Arabidopsis thaliana: one gene and its partners. The protein of the gene in region 2 interacts with the protein of the main gene of each other region in a pairwise test. Each region holds a gene or a part of one and is shown on either strand. Other genes may lie near its edges.

The links. The genes of interacting proteins can lie anywhere in the genome.
Region 1: the proteins of MYB51 (region 2) and AT5G26190 interact in a two-hybrid assay, tested with the Arabidopsis thaliana proteins (one study listed by BioGRID).
Region 3: the proteins of MYB51 (region 2) and OBE1 interact in a two-hybrid assay, tested with the Arabidopsis thaliana proteins (one study listed by BioGRID).

The regions. Positions count from the first base shown.
Region 1 is NC_003076.8:9,151,287-9,158,308, forward strand, and holds AT5G26190 (Cysteine/Histidine-rich C1 domain family protein), read right to left. Parts: upstream 4,014-7,022; 5' UTR 4,013-4,013; coding exon 2,342-4,012; 3' UTR 2,232-2,341; downstream 1-2,231. Other genes in the region: AT5G26180 (S-adenosyl-L-methionine-dependent methyltransferases superfamily protein), read left to right, coding at 44-105, 388-475, 548-628, 823-984, 1,065-1,309; AT5G26200 (Mitochondrial substrate carrier family protein), read left to right, coding at 5,982-7,010.
Region 2 is NC_003070.9:6,386,235-6,393,556, reverse strand, and holds MYB51 (myb domain protein 51), read right to left. Parts: upstream 4,159-7,322; 5' UTR 3,793-4,158; coding exon 3,657-3,792; intron 3,543-3,656; coding exon 3,413-3,542; intron 3,324-3,412; coding exon 2,531-3,323; 3' UTR 2,171-2,530; downstream 1-2,170. Other genes in the region: AT1G18560 (BED zinc finger and hAT dimerization domain-containing protein), read right to left, coding at 5,552-6,487, 6,564-7,322. UniProt on the Arabidopsis thaliana protein: Transcription factor positively regulating indolic glucosinolate biosynthetic pathway genes.
Region 3 is NC_003074.8:2,481,687-2,489,357, reverse strand, and holds OBE1 (potyvirus VPg interacting protein (DUF1423)), read right to left. Parts: upstream 4,905-7,671; 5' UTR 4,373-4,904; coding exon 4,350-4,372; intron 4,265-4,349; coding exon 3,165-4,264; intron 3,093-3,164; coding exon 2,482-3,092; 3' UTR 2,232-2,481; downstream 1-2,231. Other genes in the region: AT3G07790 (DGCR14-like protein), read right to left, coding at 341-1,867; Hsp89.1 (HEAT SHOCK PROTEIN 89.1), read right to left, coding at 5,388-5,564, 5,667-5,756, 5,854-5,959, 6,047-6,221, 6,312-6,414, 6,519-6,773, 6,901-6,978, 7,081-7,173 and 2 more. UniProt on the Arabidopsis thaliana protein: Probable transcription factor that acts together with OBE2 for the maintenance and/or establishment of both the shoot and root meristems, probably by controlling the expression of the meristem genes such as WUS, PLT1 and PLT2 and of genes required for auxin responses.

The DNA of each region.
Region 1 (7,022 bases), on a different chromosome or scaffold from region 2:
GTCATGTCCGTCTATGAGGGCTTTTCTTAATGCCAATTTGTAGATATCGAAGTCTGTCATGGTGATTTTTTGGGCCTAAATCCGAAAGATCCTTCTTTTGCGAAGGTAAGCATTACTTAGTCTGTAGCATGACTATCTATTTTTCTTATTGTTCCATGAAAGGTTCCCACACCAACGTTCTTAAAATCATTTCTTGATTTTGGATCTATTTAAGATAGTACAAGTCCAGTATTTTCATTATCTTTTGTTTTGATAGTCTACCGTGAAGAGTCACTCTCTAAAATGAACAAGAGTACCCATCTGATAGCATTGTCTAGAGTCTTGTAGCAAAAGCAGATATAGTCATTTGAGTTATTCTTGATGCTTGGGTGTGGCTGACTATTGCAGATTCGGGCTATATTGTTGGATCCTTCTTGCTCTGGCTCTGGCACGATTACAGATCGTTTGGACCATCTCCTTCCTTCTCATTCAGAAGGTATTAGCTGATCTTCTGTGTGTGTGTGTTATGTTACGAAGTGACTGAACCTTAACACACCTTTCCATGTAGATAATAACATGAACTATGACTCCATGAGACTGCACAAGCTCGCTGTTTTCCAGAAAAAGGCTCTTGCCCATGCACTCTCCTGTAAGTTTATATACTTGTCTCATGTTAGCTAAAACAAAAAATGAGGGTTTTACTTAGCTTTTGAAGAATCTCCCAAACACGTTGATCCATGTTAAATTTCCCCTCTATGAATGCATAAACCATATATACACTAAGAGAATCTTACTCTATATGTAGATATGAATGAGAACTAAAAACTTATATGTTTTAATTAGTTCCAAAGGTTGAGAGAGTCGTATACAGCACATGCTCCATCTACCAAATAGAAAACGAAGATGTCGTCTCCTCTGTTTTACCTCTGGCATCATCCTTGGGCTTCAAACTTGCTACCCCCTTTCCTCAGTGGCAGCGTCGTGGTCTCCCTGTATTTGCAGGATGTAAGTATCACCCTTACCATCGGGTTTCACCTGATTGACTCTGTTTCTAACCTTTTGATCATGTTGGCTTTGGCTTGCAGCTGAACATCTACTTAGGATGGATCCGGTGGAGGACAAAGAAGGGTTCTTCATCGCTTTATTCGTCAGGGCAAACAAACTCGATAACCCAAAATCGTCTGAACTTCCCGATAGAGTGTGTAGACGAAGACCCAAAGAAAGAACCATGCAGTTACATCCCTATCTTTGTCCCAAAATGTTCAGAGCTTGGAGTGGGACCTTGCACAGGCTCAAGACTAGGTTCCTGTTATCACGTAATGGTTGTTGAATTTTCAATTTTGTTTATGCCTTTGATCTTCATGTTGTCGTCAAAATTTTGCAACAAAGGCATGAAAGGAACATCGTAAGGTAAAATCAGAACCTCTTTAACTTTTTATCACATTACAAATTGCAGTACACAACATTATGGTTTTTTCATCAAAACAGAACACACAAAGAGAGATAATAAGCTCAAGCGACTTGAGCCTGAATGGTTTTTGGTTTCTTAGGCTCGGGAGAAGGAAGCTTCTCAACGGTCACCCCTCAACATATTGTCTATGTTCGGTGCTCATTACTTCGGTAAATTTAACTTCCTCACTATCTCCCACATCCTCTCAGTCCACACGTTCTCCTCTTAGCTTCCCTCTGCTTCTCTCCGCTCACCATAAGCACCTTCTCATTCTCAATCTCTACTCTGACATCTTCTCCTTCAAACTCTGGCATACCCACCACAAAAGTGTAGGCGCTCGGGTACTTATAACATAGGCATTGCTGACATATGCTCTTGAGGGATTGCTGCGGTCTGCCTTTTCATGTTCCTCCGGGAATTCGTTCTAGTATGTCTTCGAGGAAAATGGTGGTGTTGAGCCTAACCTGTCCACACCAAGATATATTCGTTGTTTGCCTTTCTGTTATGTCTTTAGTCCTAAAATGATATGTTGTATTGTATCTGTGCGTTAGGTCTTTGAAGTTTATATAGATTGATTAGGAAATGCTTTGTATTCGTAACGTATGTTCCCTTGCAGGTACATAAACGACGAAGCGTGGAAGATTTGTGTCCTATGAATGGTCTGAAACAGTATTTGCGATATCTGGTTAATCTTTTTACAAAAAATGTCTGAATGGTGAAAAATAAGCATTGGATCATAGAGATTGTACATTTGATATATATAAAAATAAAGGCAATTATTAAGCATAGATCACAGATTTAGACTAACCACTGAACGTAGTGAGATTTATATAAAAAAAATAGCATTGAACTTATTAAGACACAACTATGAAAGTAATTAATGTGATCTTTGCCACAACATTATTATTTAGATTACAGTTTAATACGTTGCATACTCATCACAAGAGAATCGAGACATTTAAGAGAACATAGGCATGATGTATCAGTCTCATCCTTGCTCTTCAGAACAAAAGCATCTTTGCATCGCAACGAACATATAGTACAAAACGGTCGAGATGTATGGTTATTGGAAACCACTTGGAACTCACGACTACATAAAAGAAAACTGTGCCCTGGCCTCATGTAAGGTGATTTACCGAGTACGCAGTCGATATGAAGAGTCGAACAACATTTGTCACATGAGTAAAACCACTTCCTTGGATCGGTTGGTTTTTCGCATATCTCACACCAATAATTACCGTAGCGATATCCACTGTATCGTAGATAGAGAGGATGTTTGTCGTTCTTGTTGAAGACCTCTTTTGGTAAAGTAGCACATTTGAAGCACAAAAAGAAATCAAGTTTAACACAACTCAGTGAGCCGTACACCATTTGGTCACACGCCGAGCACTCCCGAGGAAAAAGTGAGAGGATAAATAAGGAATGCAAATGACTATCATGGTTAAACTCGTCTGAGATTGTAGCACAACGAACATCCAACTTTACATTTCCGCTCTCGTACCTAAACCCGTTGCTTGGTCTTTGACAAGCAACACATGTGAAAAAGCTTTTGGAAAGCTCGAGATCTTCTCCAGGTTTAGGATTCGGGTAAAGAGTAAAGTGATTCTTGTGTAACTCATGCCTTTTTGTCCGCGGAAGATTAGCGCATGTTTCATGAAGAATGAAATCACAATGCGTGCATATATAGCATGCATCGTAGTAGAATGGAAGAACGCATGCGTAGCATCTTTGGTTTTCGTCGCGAATAAGAACATCTTGATAAATAAATCTTAATATATGTTCATGACTAAAGTGTTTTATAACTTTGTCATCAATCACCTCAAATGGCGTTATATCCTCGGTTTTGTTATCTCCCTCTTCTTCAGGTATTCCATCAAGTTCTTTCCCATCCCATACATCATCCCTTATTGCGCACTTGGAATGGACTGCATAATGACAAACCGAGCAAGAATACGCTCCATATTGGTTATTGATAATTTTATGGCAAACTCCGCATATCCACTCCTCCGGTCTAAGAATATCGACATGAGAAATACGGTGATCATGACGATTAATACTTATAACACTAGGTAAATCAATGCAATCTCTATGAATGATGAAGCAACATTGAAGACATGTGCAAGGATATGAGGAATTATCTACAGAGCCGCAAGCATCGCAAGTGAAGGAGACAGAATCGATGGGCATAAGGGAAAGCGGGTGCTTGTGGGATGTTGTCTTGTAGATAAGTAATGGCCTCTTCAGACAAGCCATACACACCTCGAACATACAACGTGAACAATTGTAGAACATATCCAATAACTTGTATCTACAAAGACAACATTGGTCCCGTCTACGGTAACCTATGATACGTTCATGCAGCTTAAGAGGATGCTTATGATGAGAAGGGCTGGTGATCTCAATGCAGTCTTCATGAAGAGAAAACTCGCATTGATTACAAGTCAAGACTTTGGTGGGTTCAAGTCTCTCTATGGAACACACTCTGCATTTAGAGGAAATGTTTGTAGGGAACAAAAAATGACGATGAACTGCCAATTTAACTGCACCAAGAAACCCGTCACGGATTTTGTCTATCTCTCCCATGTTTTGATTGTATTGAATTTACATAATATGTGTATATATATTTTTATATTATTGTGTATGATGTATCTTAAGGAGCAAATGATTCCTTTCGTCTAGATCATTGTAACAAAAACCTTTCTTATAAAGTAAACGAAAGAGAACACTTACAAAAAACTATTGCTTTGTTTTGAATTAAGTTATGTCCGAATATTAGCTGGGGCACGTTTCTTTGCTACTTTTCTATAAGGAATCAAAAAGGTGAGGAAAATATATGAAATTGCTTATAAACGTGTGTCTTATTTAGAGAGACAATTTAAGTGATGTCCAAAAAAAAATGATGTTTATGTATTGTGTTAACAATAACGTCAAAAGTAGTGACCCAGTGGTAAAAAATTGGGGATATGGTGTCAATCCATTCCTCCCTTATATTCGATTTTTACTGAGAATTCTTTCACTTCTACTTGGCCAGTCAAAATAGTATTATACTGTCCAAGCCTCTGTGGTCTAGTGGCGCAAGCTTTGATGAAGGGTGAAACCTTCGTACCTAAGTTCCATTTTCTTTTGAAACAAAATTACATTTGTTTGGAAAGTTTGACAATTGGGTCTTAACCTAATTAATTTATCTAGTATTTAGAAATACAGGCGGCTTGACTAACCCCTTGTTTACCAGATCAGCCGATAGAGTATATAAAAAAAAAAAAATAGTTTAAATCATTTGAACGGATATTTAAAAGCTACTTTCATCCAGTAAAATAGTGAGATCGGTTTTGGCTAGATTTGAACTAGTCTGGTATGAGAAGTGTTAGTGTAGTCAAGAATGCTGAACATGTACACCAGAACTATACAACTAAACACAACAGTCAACACATATACCAAAAACAGTTAATATTTATATCTAAATCCTTTAAACTCATTAAATTTATGCTCCACAACATTTAAAGTGACATGGAAACCAAGCAGCATTTGGTGCAGTGACGAGTTAGGTCTCTCATAAAAAGTGAGATTTATGGCCCCTTGAATTCGAGGCTTTTCAGTTAAAATTGACGAGACATATGAGGAATCAACGGCTGACTCTCGTAAATTGTGAGATTATGGAAATCAGTTTGAAATGATTTTTCTACTTTATCCTAAGAAAAATCAAACGAAATTACATGCAATCAAACGATTTAACAATGATAAACAAGCATTTGATCATAAGAACCGAGAAGATTGACAAAAATAAACATAAAGACAATTATATTAAGTACTAGACTACTAGTATAGAGAGCACATAGATCACAAGATTTAGTATTATTCTGTTTGTCAAAACACTATACACTTAACACTTTACTTATCATCTAAAATCAATAAACTTTCATTTACAATCGAAAACTTGCATTTGCAATCTAGACTATTTCTTGGACCTTTTAAAAAAGTTATTTATTTCCATAAAATGTAAGAAATTCTATAAATAGGCTCTGTTATCCATACTATTATACATATGCATCTAATTTTATTTAAAATGTAACTAAAACAGTTATTGATAAATACATTATATCACAAAATAATCAAATGCAAAACCTACAGAAATCAGTAAAAATAAAATAAAATAATAAATATAATCCACAGAAGGATGAAACAAGTGGCGATTCCGACAGAAGCCACTCTCTTCTCAGCCTCATGTAACCTTAAAAACTGTGAGTTTCTCTAACATAAACCAACCAACACTTGCCACGTGCCCAGTCCCATTACTCCTCCTCACACACCTCTTGAGTCCGTTAAAGGCCGCTCCTTTTATGTTATCCACACGACCCATCGTTTTGGCTCTGACTCTATATTCACTATAATAATATTAATACACGAGTTCATAGATTTTGAAGCTAATAAATCCACAGAGATTTTCTCTCTTTGATCACAATTCAATCATACACTCTATTCTCATCTCTTACTCAGGTCAAAACTCTCTAAAGTTGGAATCTTGATTTGGTTTTTAAGGTAAGATTAGCTCAAAATGAGTTTAGGTGCTTTGATGGAAGAGAAGAGAAGAGCAACAACTTCATCTTCTTCTTCTCAGGTACATATGTCAAATGATATAGATTGGCAAATGCTTGATAAATCGAGGTTTTTCTTCCTCGGTGCTGCTCTTTTCTCCGGTGTATCCACTGCTCTTTACCCTATTGTAGTTCTCAAAACAAGGCAACAAGTCTCTCCGACTCGTGTCTCATGTGCCAACATTTCTCTGGCTATTGCTAGACTTGAAGGTCTTAAAGGGTTTTACAAGGGTTTTGGAACATCTTTGCTTGGAACCATCCCGGCTCGTGCTCTCTATATGACTGCTCTAGAGATTACAAAGAGTAGTGTAGGTCAAGCAACTGTTAGGTTAGGATTGTCTGATACTACGTCTTTGGCTGTTGCTAATGGTGCAGCTGGTTTGACCTCGGCTGTGGCTGCCCAGACTGTCTGGACTCCGATTGATATTGTGAGTCAAGGGCTTATGGTTCAAGGCGATGTCTCCTTGAGTAAGCATCTTCCTGGAGTGATGAACTCTTGCAGATACAGAAATGGGTTTGATGCTTTTAGAAAGATTCTTTACACAGATGGACCAAGAGGGTTCTACAGAGGATTTGGGATCTCGATCTTGACTTACGCACCTTCCAACGCGGTTTGGTGGGCGTCTTATTCTTTGGCTCAAAAATCAATTTGGTCTCGATACAAGCACTCCTACAACCACAAGGAAGATGCTGGTGGCTCAGTGGTGGTTCAAGCGTTGAGTGCAGCTACAGCAAGCGGTTGCTCGGCTTTAGTAACTATGCCAGTAGACACAATCAAGACGCGGTTGCAAGTCTTAGACGCAGAAGAGAACGGGAGGAGACGAGCAATGACAGTGATGCAGTCAGTGAAGAGCTTGATGAAGGAAGGAGGAGTTGGTGCTTGTTACAGAGGATTAGGACCAAGATGGGTCTCAATGTCGATGTCCGCAACAACGATGATCACAACCTACGAGTTCTTGAAGCGCCTAGCAACAAAGAAGCAGAAATGATATATTGATAAA
Region 2 (7,322 bases):
ATAAATTTTTCCAACCATACATATATCAGAATTTTTTATTTATAATTTCTTTCGCCTGTATACTTTGAACATAAAAATGTAAAGTGATGACACAACCTTGAAAATAAAAATTAATACATATATGTGGTTGGGTATACTACTGTTTATATCGTTACGTCATGGGACTTTTGAAATGTCAAAAGGCATGCATGCACAAGAATGTGGCCACTACACAGAGTGCCAACTGCAAAGACCGGCAATGACTTAGTGACGACCCACATGCTTATGCATTATTTATGATATTAGAAATTATTTTAAATATATTTATCCACAAACTACTGTATCAACCTCTTTAAATCGACTATCAGATCAAAAAGTTAAGAAATTAAAGGAAGAAAAGAAAAAGAAAATTAGATATGGCCCGGTTGATTGCATAGTGTACATGATCATAAAATACTTGCAACTTGTTTATATAATTTGTTAGAAAACAACAACTTATTCGATAGATTTATCTTTCATTGATTCGTGGAAGCAACCCTCGCGAGTGGAATAACAAAAATTAATGTGTATGAATTACTTTATATTCGTTTTTGAAAGCAATTTTCCATCAAAATGATTAAATTTTCATGTTTCACCTAGCAGAACGAGCGACTTACATATATCTGAAGAGTTCAAAAAGACCAAAAGTAAGAATCGTTCGTTCCTGTCAACATGTACATCTAGTCATCTAGATGAATCTCCATAACACGTCTCACGTACACAAAATCTGATAAGACGGCGCTAACAGTGTTGATGAACAGATGGGAGAATCTAATAAGTAGCATCTCCAAAAATGTCAACACGAAAATTTTCGGGTAAATCCAAGACTCCAATATGGCAATATACCATGGAATCCATGGAATCCCCCACTTATTCCCAAAAGGGTTACTTTACTGAAGATAAACTTGAATAAACAAACGATCAAATTAATTACCGTACCTGAAATACAAATGTATAGTATCGTGGGAATACGTCAACGCTCAAATCATGATATTGGACTATAAACATCAAAATGTCTTTTATCTTAGTAGGCATCCTCACGCAGAAAAATAGAATTGAAGTATTGATTTATTCAAACATTGTTAGCGTATTGTAATCTGAATTTCAATATAATATACGTGTATATAATTTATAGATGGTAAAAGAAAATTGTAAATATATATTCAGAAATTAACTACCACTCTTTGTAACTACGTATGATAATTAAATTCTAACAATCACCAAAAGATCAGAAGTCCAAATATTCAGAAAATTTTCATTTTTCATACGGGTATTACAATTGTTATTTTTACAAACCAACAATTGGGCAAAAAGCCAACGATGTAATATTTTTTTCATTACCTATAGTTTTAAATCAGACATGATAATAAGATATAGGCTGTCCCTGGAAATATAATTTTTATTTTCTAATCACTTTATTTATATAGAGAAAACACTATCTTTGAAAAGCAAATTAATTCATTCACCCTTTTTTTGAAATATTAAAATATTGAAACAAATCACAAATCAGCTTTTGCTTTTGTTTTCTTCATGGTGCTTTCGAAAGGTTAGGGATCATAATGCACTTTTTCTTATCCTTTTTTTTTTTTTGGTATCAACTTCTTCTTATCTTTAACCCTCGGAACATTCAAAGAATGATCCTCTCGCTTGCTTTAAATTTATGTGGGTCTCATTGCTGAATATTATTCGTATGTTGATAGGGTGAATTTTATATACATTAGAGAATGAAAGATTTAAGTCACAAAATAAGTTAATCGTTGGTTTTTTTTTTAATATACAAAACTGGTTGAGGATATATTTCTTTACCAATCTGCTCAATCTATTAGCCCTAACTCATAAAATAAACCAGAGCATCTCCATCCATACAATTTTTAGAGTTTCTTTTGATAAAGATAATATAAATAATTAATAAATGAGGAGAGAGAATGACAAAAAATGAAGAAACGTTTCTTGAGAAATTTTGGAATAATCAGTGAAAGACTATTTCTATAAGTGTTTGCTTATAATTGAATATTTTTTTTAAAAAAAAATAATTACAAAATTAAATTACAGTAATTTTTTATTTTATTTTAAAACCTTTTAAAGTATCTTACAGATGAAGATGACCTAATAGTGGAATACTGCCAATTAAAATTTAAAATAGCAATGGTACTAGTAGTTAGCAGCAGCAGCAGCTAATGAATGATTTTTCAAAATAAAGCAATCTCATATTCGGATGGATACAAATTCTGATAACCAACACAATAAAAGTACTAAAGTTAACAACTCGTTAACATTATAATTATTACATCACCATTTATAATCCATTTACAACGAAACAACACACTTCAGACCAAAAAAAAAAAACACAAAAACACAAGCATATGTGACAACACGAACTACATTCATGATTCATGCATGGTCATCATCACCATCATTATTTATTATTATTACCATCAACATCATCAAGGTAACATATCCATAGACATCATATTGACATGGTCACGTGGGATTCATCGATTATGAGTTTCACTCATCCAAAATAGTTATCAATTTCGTCAAACAAGTCTTGACGTTCATAGACCGGCGTCACATCAACGACGTCGTTTTCATCCTCGTGAAGAAACCTCGTAAGTTCTTTCATGAACGCAGTGTTTTCAACACAAGACTCCTCCAACATCATGAAATCTTCATCATTCAGAAATGTGGAGAACCCGATAGTATCCTCATCATCAACGTTGTTATTACCAACGAAATTATCGCAGTACATTAGAGGATTGTTAACGGAGGAATCAGAGAACGTGGACGAAGAACACGTCAGATTAACGTTACCATCAACGTCAAAGTTCGATGAAACTGGTGTTGTTGCAACGGTCCCATGGCAGAGAAGATTCGAGGTTGGTGCGAAGGAAGAACTCGTTGACTTAACTGATTCAGAGTCAACGGAAACACTTGTAGTTGTAGTATTAGTAGTGTGACTAGTAGAAGCAAGTGGGCCTCCACTTCCGATAATCTCAGACAGAACACTCTGATTGATTCTCTTTCCGAACCTATTAGCTACTTTGTTCAAGAAACTAGCCGATGATAATCCAAAATTCTTGTTGTTCTTCTTCGCCTTGTCATTATCAAGATCATGGTCACTAGTTGTCAGATTAACATTTTGTTTCTCCGGGAGGTTTTCTGATTTGTCGGTACCGGAGGTTATGCCCTTGTGTGTAACTGGATCAATACCTTTCTTGATCAAACGTTTTTTGATATGAGTGTTCCAGTAGTTCTTGATCTCGTTATCGGTTCTTCCTGGTAGTCCACGAGCTATAGCAGACCATCTGATTAAAACCACATATAAGATTACAATATTAGTAAATGTTAATGCAAACAAAAAATAAGTATAAAATGTAGAGGTAGAGAGACTAACTTGTTGCCGTGAAGGGCGTGAAGAGAGATGATTGAACGTTCTTCGTCTTCAGTGAACTCTCCTCTTTTGATGTCAGGTCTAAGATAATTGGCCCATCTCAGTCTGCAGCTTTTGCCGCATCTCTTGAGTCCTATCCAATTAGAAGAATTATTTAAGTAAAATAATTGAGCAATAATGACCAATAAAGGTCCAACATTGAATATTCAAACATGACGGAATAAACATAATAAAAAATAATACATACCAGCTTTTTCGGGGAGAGTTCGCCATCCACCTTCACCGTGGCGGTTAAGGTAAGAGAGAAGCTTCTGATCTTCCTCGGGAGTCCAAGCTCCTTTCTTTAACCCTAGTTCAGCTTTGCAACACGGTGTCCGCACCATTCTTGATTCTTCAAACTTAGCTTTCTTGATCGAGTTCAAAGGGGGTTGTTCTCAAGTGAAACAAAGAGGGACAAAAAAACACAAAAAAAAAAACTGAGAGGTGAAACAAAGTGTGAAATGGGGCGTATGATCATAGAGATTGAGCACAAGATCTTTTGATTAAAGAATTCAGACATCGGTAGATTCTTCGAATAGACATCTTGTTCTTTTGTGATACTCGAGATCGTTATAACATTGAACGAGCAGAGGAGAAGAGAGATCTAGTTGCTCTGTTTTCTTACCACAAAGAGAGACACAAAGAGAAGGTTTTATAGAGAGAATCTTTTTTTCTCTAAAGAGAACTGTTTGTGTTACACTTTGCAAAGTGGGAAACTTATAGGAAAGAGCCCATCTCTATTTATGCTTGCCTGAGGCTGTACGTGTGGCTGCTGCCAACGTCGTCGTTTAAATATGACTGACACATGGCTCATTATGATTCCTTAACGCAATTTTTTATAATCGGATTATTACATAAAAGAAAAACTGCTAACTTTTGTCAGTGGACATTTTGACACTAGACTTTTGATCTTTCTTAAACTAATTTATTTTATTTTGATTGTCAATAAAAAAATACTACGAAGACATCTATTATATAATATCATTTTTCATAATCCCATGCATAAGAACCGCCACATCTGATATGATATTGATAGTAGCAAAAAAAGGGGAAAAAATAGAATGAATATAGCAAAGGTTGCTAAAAAAAAAGAATGAATATCAAGCATGCAAAATATGTAACGTAAAATTGTCTTGCCTATGTAAATAGCTAATTACGTATCAATTTATTTTGAAATCTATGTCTGCTATGCAAATAGTTTTGATTATGCAATCCAAAATATAAAATTTATTGAAGAATTATAATACGGCGCCGGCAGGTCCGGAACACCAATTAAATTAAAATCCTGTTGAACTTTCTCTTCGATCTTTGGAGATATTTTGTATTGACCCGATTCTTGACCAAAATTTTATTTTAGTTTTTTGGTATTGACCGTCGGTCCAAAGTATATATGAAACTATAATTTCTCAGCAAGTTTTTAATTTTATAACGAGTAAAAAAAAAGCTTTATTGAAATTGGCAACAAATTTTAACCAATGTAAAAAAACATTTTGAATTTATCAGAAGAGTTAAAAAATGTCTATCGAAATGAAAAACCACAAAGGTACGTTTCCATGACAGAATGAATTCAACTTTAAAACTTGGAGTGCGAGGACTTTTCAAAATACGACTGAACTCTTAGTATTTTTTTCTCTCAAATATTTAAATATGCTTAAACAATCATAGAGACGACAAAATTATAAAGAAACAATTGGCAAACTAGCACACGAATTGAAAATTCGAGGAAGGTAAGGTAGAGAGGTACAACACAAAAGTAGTCGTATTTGAACTAGATTAAATTAAAGCAACAACTTGGTCACTCAAACACTGGACTTGGACATATCGATATCCATTATACCAAGGAAAAATCTAAGGTACAAAGAAAGAGATAAGCTATTTTCTTTTTTCGTACAACTAATTTCCACTTTTCTAGTTAGACAGAACCCATTAATTAGTCAACATTGTGTTTTTTTTTCTCTCTAATATGATATGAAAGTACATACGGTTATGAAGAAAGCTAACCAGCTTGGTTTACATCAACCCAACTCTAAATTCAATGATTCATGCTAAAAGTATGACAACTAAATTACAGTAGTTCTTTAGTACAAATACTAAAAAATAATCTCACCTATGTTGTTGAATTTTTTCTAAACCTCCGGCAGAATTATCAGCGGCCACGGTGGCAGCTAACTCCATTAGTCGTTCATAGTCAATCTCACTACACTTGTACTTCAGTTTCATACCAGCTTCAATCCATGATCTGATACAAATAACAGATTGTGTGCTATCATGAGGCATGCAATACTTCTGCTTATCAATCTCTTCTCCTTTACCACAAAAGATCTCTTCCGGTGCAGCAGAAGTCGCCTGAACCGCAAGGAAATCCCGAGCCATGTTGGAAAGTCGCGGGTATCTTCCACTGTTTACCTTCCACCAATCAAGCACATCAGTCTGCATTGGAACTATAGACTCTGATAAGTACTGAGTCAGTTCATCAACAACATTGTTACTCATACTTCCTCTTCTTTTCCTTCTAGCGATTTCCTCTGCAAATGAGATATTTCCTCCTCCTTCATCTACCTCCTGAGGACGATACCCGCTAGTCATTGAAGATGTGAAATGAGAGGAAGAATAGTTACGAATGAAATGACTTCTTGCTTCATCTATATAGCTCTCGAGATTAATCGTCTCTGGAATGTACTCTGTTTTGATCCGCGGGTCAAGAATGGCTGTAATGTAAGTGAATACGTTGCACACTTGAGTGTTGTAACTTCTGGCCTTCTGGGCCATGCTCTCAGCACAAGTTCTTAGCCAGTCTGGGTTGTGGCATGATTTCTGGCAAGTTGTGATCATCTCGGATATGTTATCCATGAAGAGCAGTGCTAGACCAACCGTGAGATCCTTGTTCGTGCACATATCGTTAGTGGTCTTGTGAAATGAATCCAAATCCAAGTAATTGTGGACAATAGTCACCGCGTTCTTCTCTACAGAACTCAACATCATTCTGTTCTCTAGAGCATCCTCGTTTTTCCTAATCACCGAGTCCAAGGACTTGCTAGCCTGCAGCAATATAAGCCATCACATATAAATATCTCAGAGCTTGATGGCTTACAGGTCAAAGTTATAGACATCTTACCTTGCACAAGATGTTGACCATCTGGTAATTGCCACTCCAACGAGATGAAGCATCGATGGGTAGTTTCCAGTTGCCTTCTTGATAAGCTGTTGTCAACTGAATGAAATCATCAGATAGCTCTGTGGACGCGTTTAACTCTTGTGTGAATTCTCTAACCTTAGAGATAATGGGCTTTATAGTTGCTAACCCCTCATCAATAATATCATTCAGAGTTTGAGCGGCACAGGGAATGTAGCAGAAAGGTAAGACCTTTTGACCATCAAAGTACTCCTTCAGGCTATGACAAGCGTGAATAGCGTTTTCGCTGTTGTCATGTGTACAACATAGAATCCTGTCTTCAATGGCATATGTCTTAAGGACTTTCAAAAGGGAGTTATAAATCTCAGAACCCCCAGAGGGATAAGGAATCCGACATATGTCGAGCAGCAACCTATGAGACGACCAATTTTCATCTATCCATTGACCCGTTACGCTCATATAAAAAATGTTTTCATATGAATTCCAGAAACTTAAAGTGACAGAAACTTTGGACTGGATATGCTCCAAGGTTGTCTTCACATCTCCCCGCATACTTGTGAAAACCTCATCAAGTATGGCTTTATATTTTTCAGCCGGCCATAACTGGATGGATGGCTTAAGAAATTTGAAGGAGTTTCCCAACCATGTTTCGTCTACAGTAGAGGGAGGAAGTGATGACAAAGCAAGCCACTTGAGAACTAACCAGTTAAGATGATCATAATCGAGTTGTGGTACTTTCGA
Region 3 (7,671 bases), on a different chromosome or scaffold from region 2:
TCTGAGGGAAACCTGAGATTGAAGAGAGAACAATCTCGAGGATGACACCTCTTAAAAAGCATGAATCACACAAAAGGAACTAAAATATAGAGAATCTACAGATAAAGCTTAAACACCAAATTTTACACTTGAGGATATTGTGCTGATGTTGTAATATTGAAGTGCGTAGCCTGGGAGCTAAGAGAAAAGAGAAGATGTGGAAGTCAAAATTACAAATGCGAAGATAGATAGCATTCCATTTAAAATCTGTCATATCAGTAATTGGTACAAGAAGAAGTAACTTTGTTGCCTATGTGAGCACCAAAGCATTCAACAACAGATAACCATAACATTGGCACCATCAAGGCGACCTTGTCTCTGAGCTGGTCCCATCTTTGCCAAATCTTGAAATACTTCTCACACTCTTAGGAGTCACAGCACCAGGACTTGCTCCACGAGGACTTGCTCCACGATAACTTGCACGAAGGCTCTCATCAACAGTAGAAGATGATTTAGCTATTGCCTTTCTGAAAAACTTCTGAGCAGCGGGTGAAAGAGTCCTAACATTCGGACTTGCACTTCCACTTCGATGAGGAGATGGCAACGGAGGTTTCTTAAACATACTATTCGATCTCTCTCTAAGTTTTCGCGATGCATCCCTTGATAATGAATGTGCCCTTACATCTCTAGGAGGTGCAGATGGAATGTTATAGTGCGGTCCATCAGCACTACCACCAATATCAATAGGTGTATCCTCAAGATCTAATCGCATTGGTGTCCCATCAATCTCACCCCATGTTATAAAGGGTGATTCATCAAGACCTGGAGCAGGAGAAGGCGTTCTAACAAAACTATACCCATTGTCTGCCCTCTTATCTGATTCCACATAGAAAGGATTCGGTGTTTTCCTTAGATCATCAAGATCATACCTTTTAGACTTGTCTCTGTCCCTACCTGAGATATGCATCGGGGAAGAACCTGCGATTGGAGTGTAGAGAATCTCAACAGAACCATCTTCTCTTGGCCTAGAATCCATAGTCTTACCATGAAAACGAGTGTTCCCTTTAACTATCTCCTTAGTCAATCCAAGTAATCTCACTGCCCTTTCCGCCTCAGTTAAAGGCGCCTCACCCCGATCAGCTGGATGGTACATCAGAAGATTCTTCGCCGTATATTTCCATCCTTCTAAAGTACTCGGTGGCTGATCAGATGTACCATACCCATCTGTAATCCTATCTCTCTTCACATCCTCAATAGATTTACCATCCTCCTTTTCACCTTCAAGGAGAAAGCCATACTTCTCCTTCTTCTTCCTATTTACCTTCTCAAGAATCTTCGAAAAGCTCTCGTTATCCTCACTAGTATATCTCCTAAAGAACTCATCTAGGGACAAATTAAGATCTATATCTTCATCTCCATCACCAGCATCTACTTCAACACCATGAAATTCTCTACCAGATACTCCAGGAGTTCTAGGGGTTTTACCATCAAATTCATCTAAAGGAGTGAAATTTCTCAGAAAAGTAGATCCAGGAGTTTGAGTTTTACCCTCGGTATCTCCAACATGATGATTCGCCTTCTTTCCACGCCTCTCGATAATCTTCAACTGGGCATCTCGGATTTGAATCGGGTCACGGGTTTTCACCGCTTGGATCCAATCGAGCCGATCCCTAAGCTTAGTTATATCTGGAAAGTAATCACGCTCGATGATCTTCTCGATTGCTTCAACATAAGCGTCCTCATCGAGAACTCTCATCCGTTTTCTAGGGTTTCGAGGAATGATCTCCGAGGAAGAACTGCGAGGCGTTGATCGGAGGGTATCATCGGAATAAGAAGACGGCGATGGAGAAGAAATCTGACGAGGAGAATGACCAGGTGAAAGAAACATCTTGAATCAGAAGAACGCGAATTCAAAAAGCACGAATGGAATTTGGAGCCGATGAATTTTGTCGAGAATTCGGACACTAGGGTTTGTTTTTGGGTAGACAGGAAAACAAAACGATGGTCGATGATTGCATCGGCGATGATATAATATTCCTTATCAATCCGATTATACGCGTTTTGTTTCCAGAATATTACATTATTTCCCCAAACGTTTTGATTCCTTTTGCTTTATACCCCGTAAGAAATCAAATCGTTATTATAACCCAAACATGAGGACGTTATTGCAAATAACTACTCTGTAATATCCATTTGGGCAAAATATTTTCTTTTTAAAGTCGGTGGCGATGTTCTTTGGCTCTCATGTTGGCTCAAATATAAACTATTTAAGGTAACATGGATCTCCCTCCATTAGCGAAATCCACAATTCTCTAAATCCGAGTGAATAAGTATCGAGATTTTGGCAACACTCTGTGTCAAAGCTTGCATAACATTATGGCCCAACATAGACGATCATGTGCAAAATTTGAATACAAAGACCACAATACTTCACACACAAATCCAACCTTAATTGATTCGGATTTTTTTTTTAATACAAACAAAGAGAGACAATACAAACATCTAAGGATTGGATCTGAAAGGATTTCGCTGGTTTGATCTTGGATCTACCCTTGGCGACGATGCATTGTATCCATGCAGCATTTCTCTGATCTTTGAGTACATCACTGCTTGTGACGCTTCACCACCATTCCCACCACTTTCCTGCTCTTTTATCTTTTCAAACAGATACTCTTTCTCTGCCTCCGCCTCGCTCAGCCTCAGTTTCAAATAGTTACTTGCGTATTCCTCTTCTGTTTTCTCCTTTTTCGCTTTCACAATCCTTTCCAATCTCTCTGCTTCCACTTTTGCCTCGTTTGCTTTTAACTGAAACATCTCTGCCTCTGCTTGCTTCAGCCTCACTATCCTCTCCACCTCTTCTATCTGTTGTTTCTTCTTCTGCCTCTCCATCTGCAGTTCCGCCACTTGCTTTGCTTTCTCTTCTACCTCTCTCTCGCATTCCTCAAGCCCCATTCGCGCTTTCTTGTACATCCTCGTCTTTTCCTCACCCACTATCTCCATTTTCCTCAGTGTTTCCTTTACAACTTCAGCAATTCGGTTGCATGCATCTTGAGGTGCTATCGTACCCCCACCTTCTCCGCTTTCAAGGCTCTTTGGAGAGTCCAATTCAATTTCTTCATACACAAAACATGGTTAGGTCTATAAAGAGTAAACCCTTATCATATAACAATAGCGAGTGGGCTTACCTTGGAAAAACATGAGTATCAACTTGGCCGCTGTTGCTTCAGCCAGTCCACCTTTAATCTTCTCCATAAGCTCCTCACACTTCCAGAAGAGTTTCCGGCCTCTTGTATCTTCGCTTCCACGGAAAATCCTACTAACGAAGTCAAGTTCCTTCATTAAAGATTCCCTATCCCAGTTTGGTGCACAGTGCTGAAACACATCTTTCACCCACCCCAGCAATTCAGAAGTATGGTTGCACGCTCGACACTTGAACAGCATTTCTCCCATCCCAGATACGCTCTTGGGAGAAACTCCCATCGAAATCTCCCCATCCCTAATAGCACAATCCGTATGAGTCCAATGAGAACACACGTCGCAGCCAATCCAGCGGCATGTGTTGACTGCAAAGTCAAACTTGTTACATATCACACACATGCACAGGTTGCAGAAGCCTTTCCTATTAGCGCATATCTCACAGGGACAACCATCAGCCGGGAGTTCGTTTTGGCAAGCTATGTTTCTGCATCTCTTGTACACAAAGATCTCGATGAGTGATGACTGAGAGAGATTGATGTTTGGGTGCAAGAATGCTTGGATACCAGTGTTTATAACCACAAGAACTTCAAGCTGCACTCGGTGAGCCCTGACAAGTGTCTTTGAAGTTAAATCAGATCTCGTCTGGACAAACTTCTGCAGAAACATAAACTCATCTATAGGCTGCGCACCATTTCCTTCAAGGATAGCCTTAAGACCATTCTTTAACTCCTCGAGATATTCTTCTGGTAATCGATGCATTCTCTCAGCGACTATGTCAAGTCTCTCTCTAGCTATGTCCCGTAGCGATACCTTATCAGCAATGGAAACATGGCGGATCACATGTTGATCATGAGAGTCAGGCCCTGTCTTTCCGCTATCTGTCTTCCTTCCCATAATAGATTTTGAGGTTGGCCAAGTTTCTTGAGAGCTAGCACTTTCAGCTGGTGATTCACGCACAATGCCAGAATTAGACCGTGACAAGTGGGGATCTGAAGATACAAGCGAAAGAGATGTTTGTAGTTGCTGACGTGGAGGTAGCATCTGGTGAGGAAGATTGGACCCAGATGATGTGCCCATCAATTTAGTGCTGCAGACACCAAGATAATGTCAATGTCAGATTCACCCCAAGGAACACATAAATCCCTAAAATACTTTACGACCAAATCACATACTAATTCAGGAAAGCCCAAAACATTTTGCAAAATCCCTAGAAATCCACCGACAGATAAAAACTACATCTCCTATGTTCAAATTGAGCTGAGATGATTAATCACTAGTGGAAGCTCAAAAAATACAAACACATGACAGAGTAAACACAAAACAAGCGCTAGAAAAAAACAAGTTGCTCGAATCTGTTTGCCCCGTAGATTATACGCTATAAAAGTCAAACACGAATCTTCATAAAATCAGAAAATCTTGCAAGTACCAAAATACATAGTCATAAACTGAATCAACCCTCAAAACAACGCATCCAACTCGATCACGAGAGTTATTGACTCTTTTTGTCACCGAATTTTCAGGACCAGCCTCGAACTCAACAACCAAAACAGATACGTTTTGCTGTATTCGCCTCAGACATAAAGAAAGCACCAAACAGACGAGAAAGGGAAAAAGACCGCCGGAAAATTAAGGACTCACCGGAGAGACGACGGGAGAGGACGAACGAGGAACCGTGACTCCGTGAGAAACCCAAAGGAAAGATAAATTAAACACTTTTTTGCCTGTTAAGACAGAACTATAAAAAAGACATACAGCTGCCAGTTCATTAATCTCTAACGGTTAACCTGACCAGCCGGTAACCTTCGACTTTTGTTGACTTTTTTAAACGCGTTCAACGTTTGAGTCGAATCTGTCCAAACAAAGTTTTAAACCAACCCAATTCGTACGATAACAACATCCCTCTATTTAATTAAAAATTACCATATGTCCCAAAATTTTAGTTTTGTTAGATAAAACTCGAAAAATCTTTCCAAAAACACCCCAACTGAATTTTTCTTAACGGTTATTAAAATTATACCGAGGAGGATCAACACAAACTGGAACAAAAACAAGCTCAATCAATTATTAATCTCTCCAACATAAATAGAGATTATCATTCGCTCATTGCCTATTGTTCTGAGTTTTGGGGTTCTACTTTTACTGCTACTACTAATAAAAGAAGAAGAATATGATGAGAATCGTAGCAGGGACATAAAACATTAGGCTTGTGTTCATTTCTTCCCATCCACTTCGACTGGTTCAACCACTTCAGCTTCAAACGTCTCTGCATCGTGAGAATGTGCCATCTGCTGTTGCTGCGGCTGCACCTCAGGGCTTGACCATTTCCCGGAAAGAGCTACATCCATCATCTCATATATCTTCCCACCCAGCTCTGCTGGATTATCGGGCTGTAGTTTTGAGAAACAACAATTAAGTTTTACCAGTATTTACTTTATTTCAATTCTAGAGACAACAAAAAGTTAAGAATGTTAATGTAGAATAGGACTCACCGTGAACCCACTAGAAACTAGTGCTGCGTCATACATAAGATCTATGGCTCTCATTGCATCTTCGTCATTTGGGTTACTATTGTAAGCAGCCTGCAGGGTGCAAGAAAAAAACAAGCCAAGCTCAAAAAGCGGCTCCTAGATTTAATTATAATAGCCAGGTACAAGTTATGATGAATGGTGACTTCACATTTATGTTCTTGATAATTGAGTGGTCGGGATTGATCTCAAACACTCTTCTCCCTTTCATGTAGTCGAGGCTTATTGTGTCACCAGTTGATTGTGCCTTCATTAGCCTGTCCAGATAACATATTCTGTGTTAGTTCACCAGGGGCAAAAAAGGAGAACGGAAATCCTTGCTTAAGAAAAAGGTCAGATCTTACCTCTCCATATTGGCTGACCAACCAAATTTACCAGATACAAGAACACAGGGGGAAGAACTAAGACGGTTGGAAATTTGAACACTGGCAACCTTGTCACCCAATCGTTTCTTTATCCAGTCACAAGTCTGTCCAAACTCTTTTTTCACTGCTGCCTCTTTCTCCTCGTTCTTGTCTCCTGTCAATACAAAGATCAAAGCCAGAATTTGTTATTATACATAAGTGATTACCTGACATGCTAAATCAAGGAATTACATCAGGCACTTGCCTAGATCCAAGTCTTCCTTGCTGATATCTACAAAATCCTTCTCCTTATAAGCTTTTAAACTCTGTACGGCAACTTCATCAATAGGCTCTACCAAATATAGTACCTACGTTCACAATACAAAGAAATACATGTCAATCACCTCTGAGTTAATAGGAATATTTGCAAGGAAGAACAAAACGAGGCCCCATTCAGAAGAACAACACATACTTCAAGTCCTTTCTCCAGCATCTTTTCGAGGAAAGGTGCATTCTTAGCACTTGTAATGCTGTCAGAAGCAATGAAGTATATGGCTTTCTGTTCAGGTTTCATGTTCTCAACATACTCATCCAAGCTGATCATGTCATTCTCACTCTGGGAGGAGAAAAATCGAAGCAGTGGAGCTATACGCTTGTGGTTTTCACGGTCTTCGATGCACCCTAATTTCAAGTGTTTGCCAAAATTATCCCAAAACTTCTCATAGTCCTGTATAGGTTAACAATGCCATTCTCATTCGTCAGGAAAATCATCACCAGAACGTAGCAGTGATTTCTAAAGGGAATTAAAAAAGGTTAAACTGTAAGCTTAGGGGAACAAGAGTTATGAAACATACTTCTCTGTTTTCACTCAAGGATATACCCAAAATCATATCAAAAGCCTTCCTCACTAGACGTTTCTTCATGATCCGCACCTTGGAGACACAATACAAAATCGTAAGCTTAACATAGCATTGCACTTAAAACAAAACATATATCATAAAGGCTTTGCATACGAATTGGATATGAGCGCTTACTATGCGACTTTCTTGAAGAATCTCACGTGATACATTAAGTGGGAGATCATGCGAGTCCACAACACCTTTAACAAAGCTCAAGTACCGAGGAAACTGGCCACAAACACCACAAAAATGATATCAATATAATTAGAAAGACAGAGGTTTCTTGAAAGAAATTTGAACCACACCAAAAGAAACTTTTCTCACCAGCTCCCCATCAAAGTCATCTGAAATGAAAACTCGTTTAACATAGAGCCTTATGTTCTTTGTCTTTTGATTGACTATGTCATCCTTCCCCGATGGTGAAACAGGTGGCACATATAGGATAGACCTAAACTCGACTTCGCCCTGAGCATTGCCAACAAGAGAATCAAAGAGCATTATATTTCAGTGGATCGTCTAACAAAGACGATCTAATTCGGCTGTTTAATGGAAATATCCAATTCAATAAATGTGTTCCTTTGAAAATACCTCTGTCGTGAAATGGGATGAAGCCAATGGGTCCAAATACTCATTGAAAGCTTTTCTGTAAAACTCATTGTATTCTGCTGTTGTCACCTCCTTAGGGTTACGCAGCTGCAATAAATAAAATACACTGTTAAATTGATT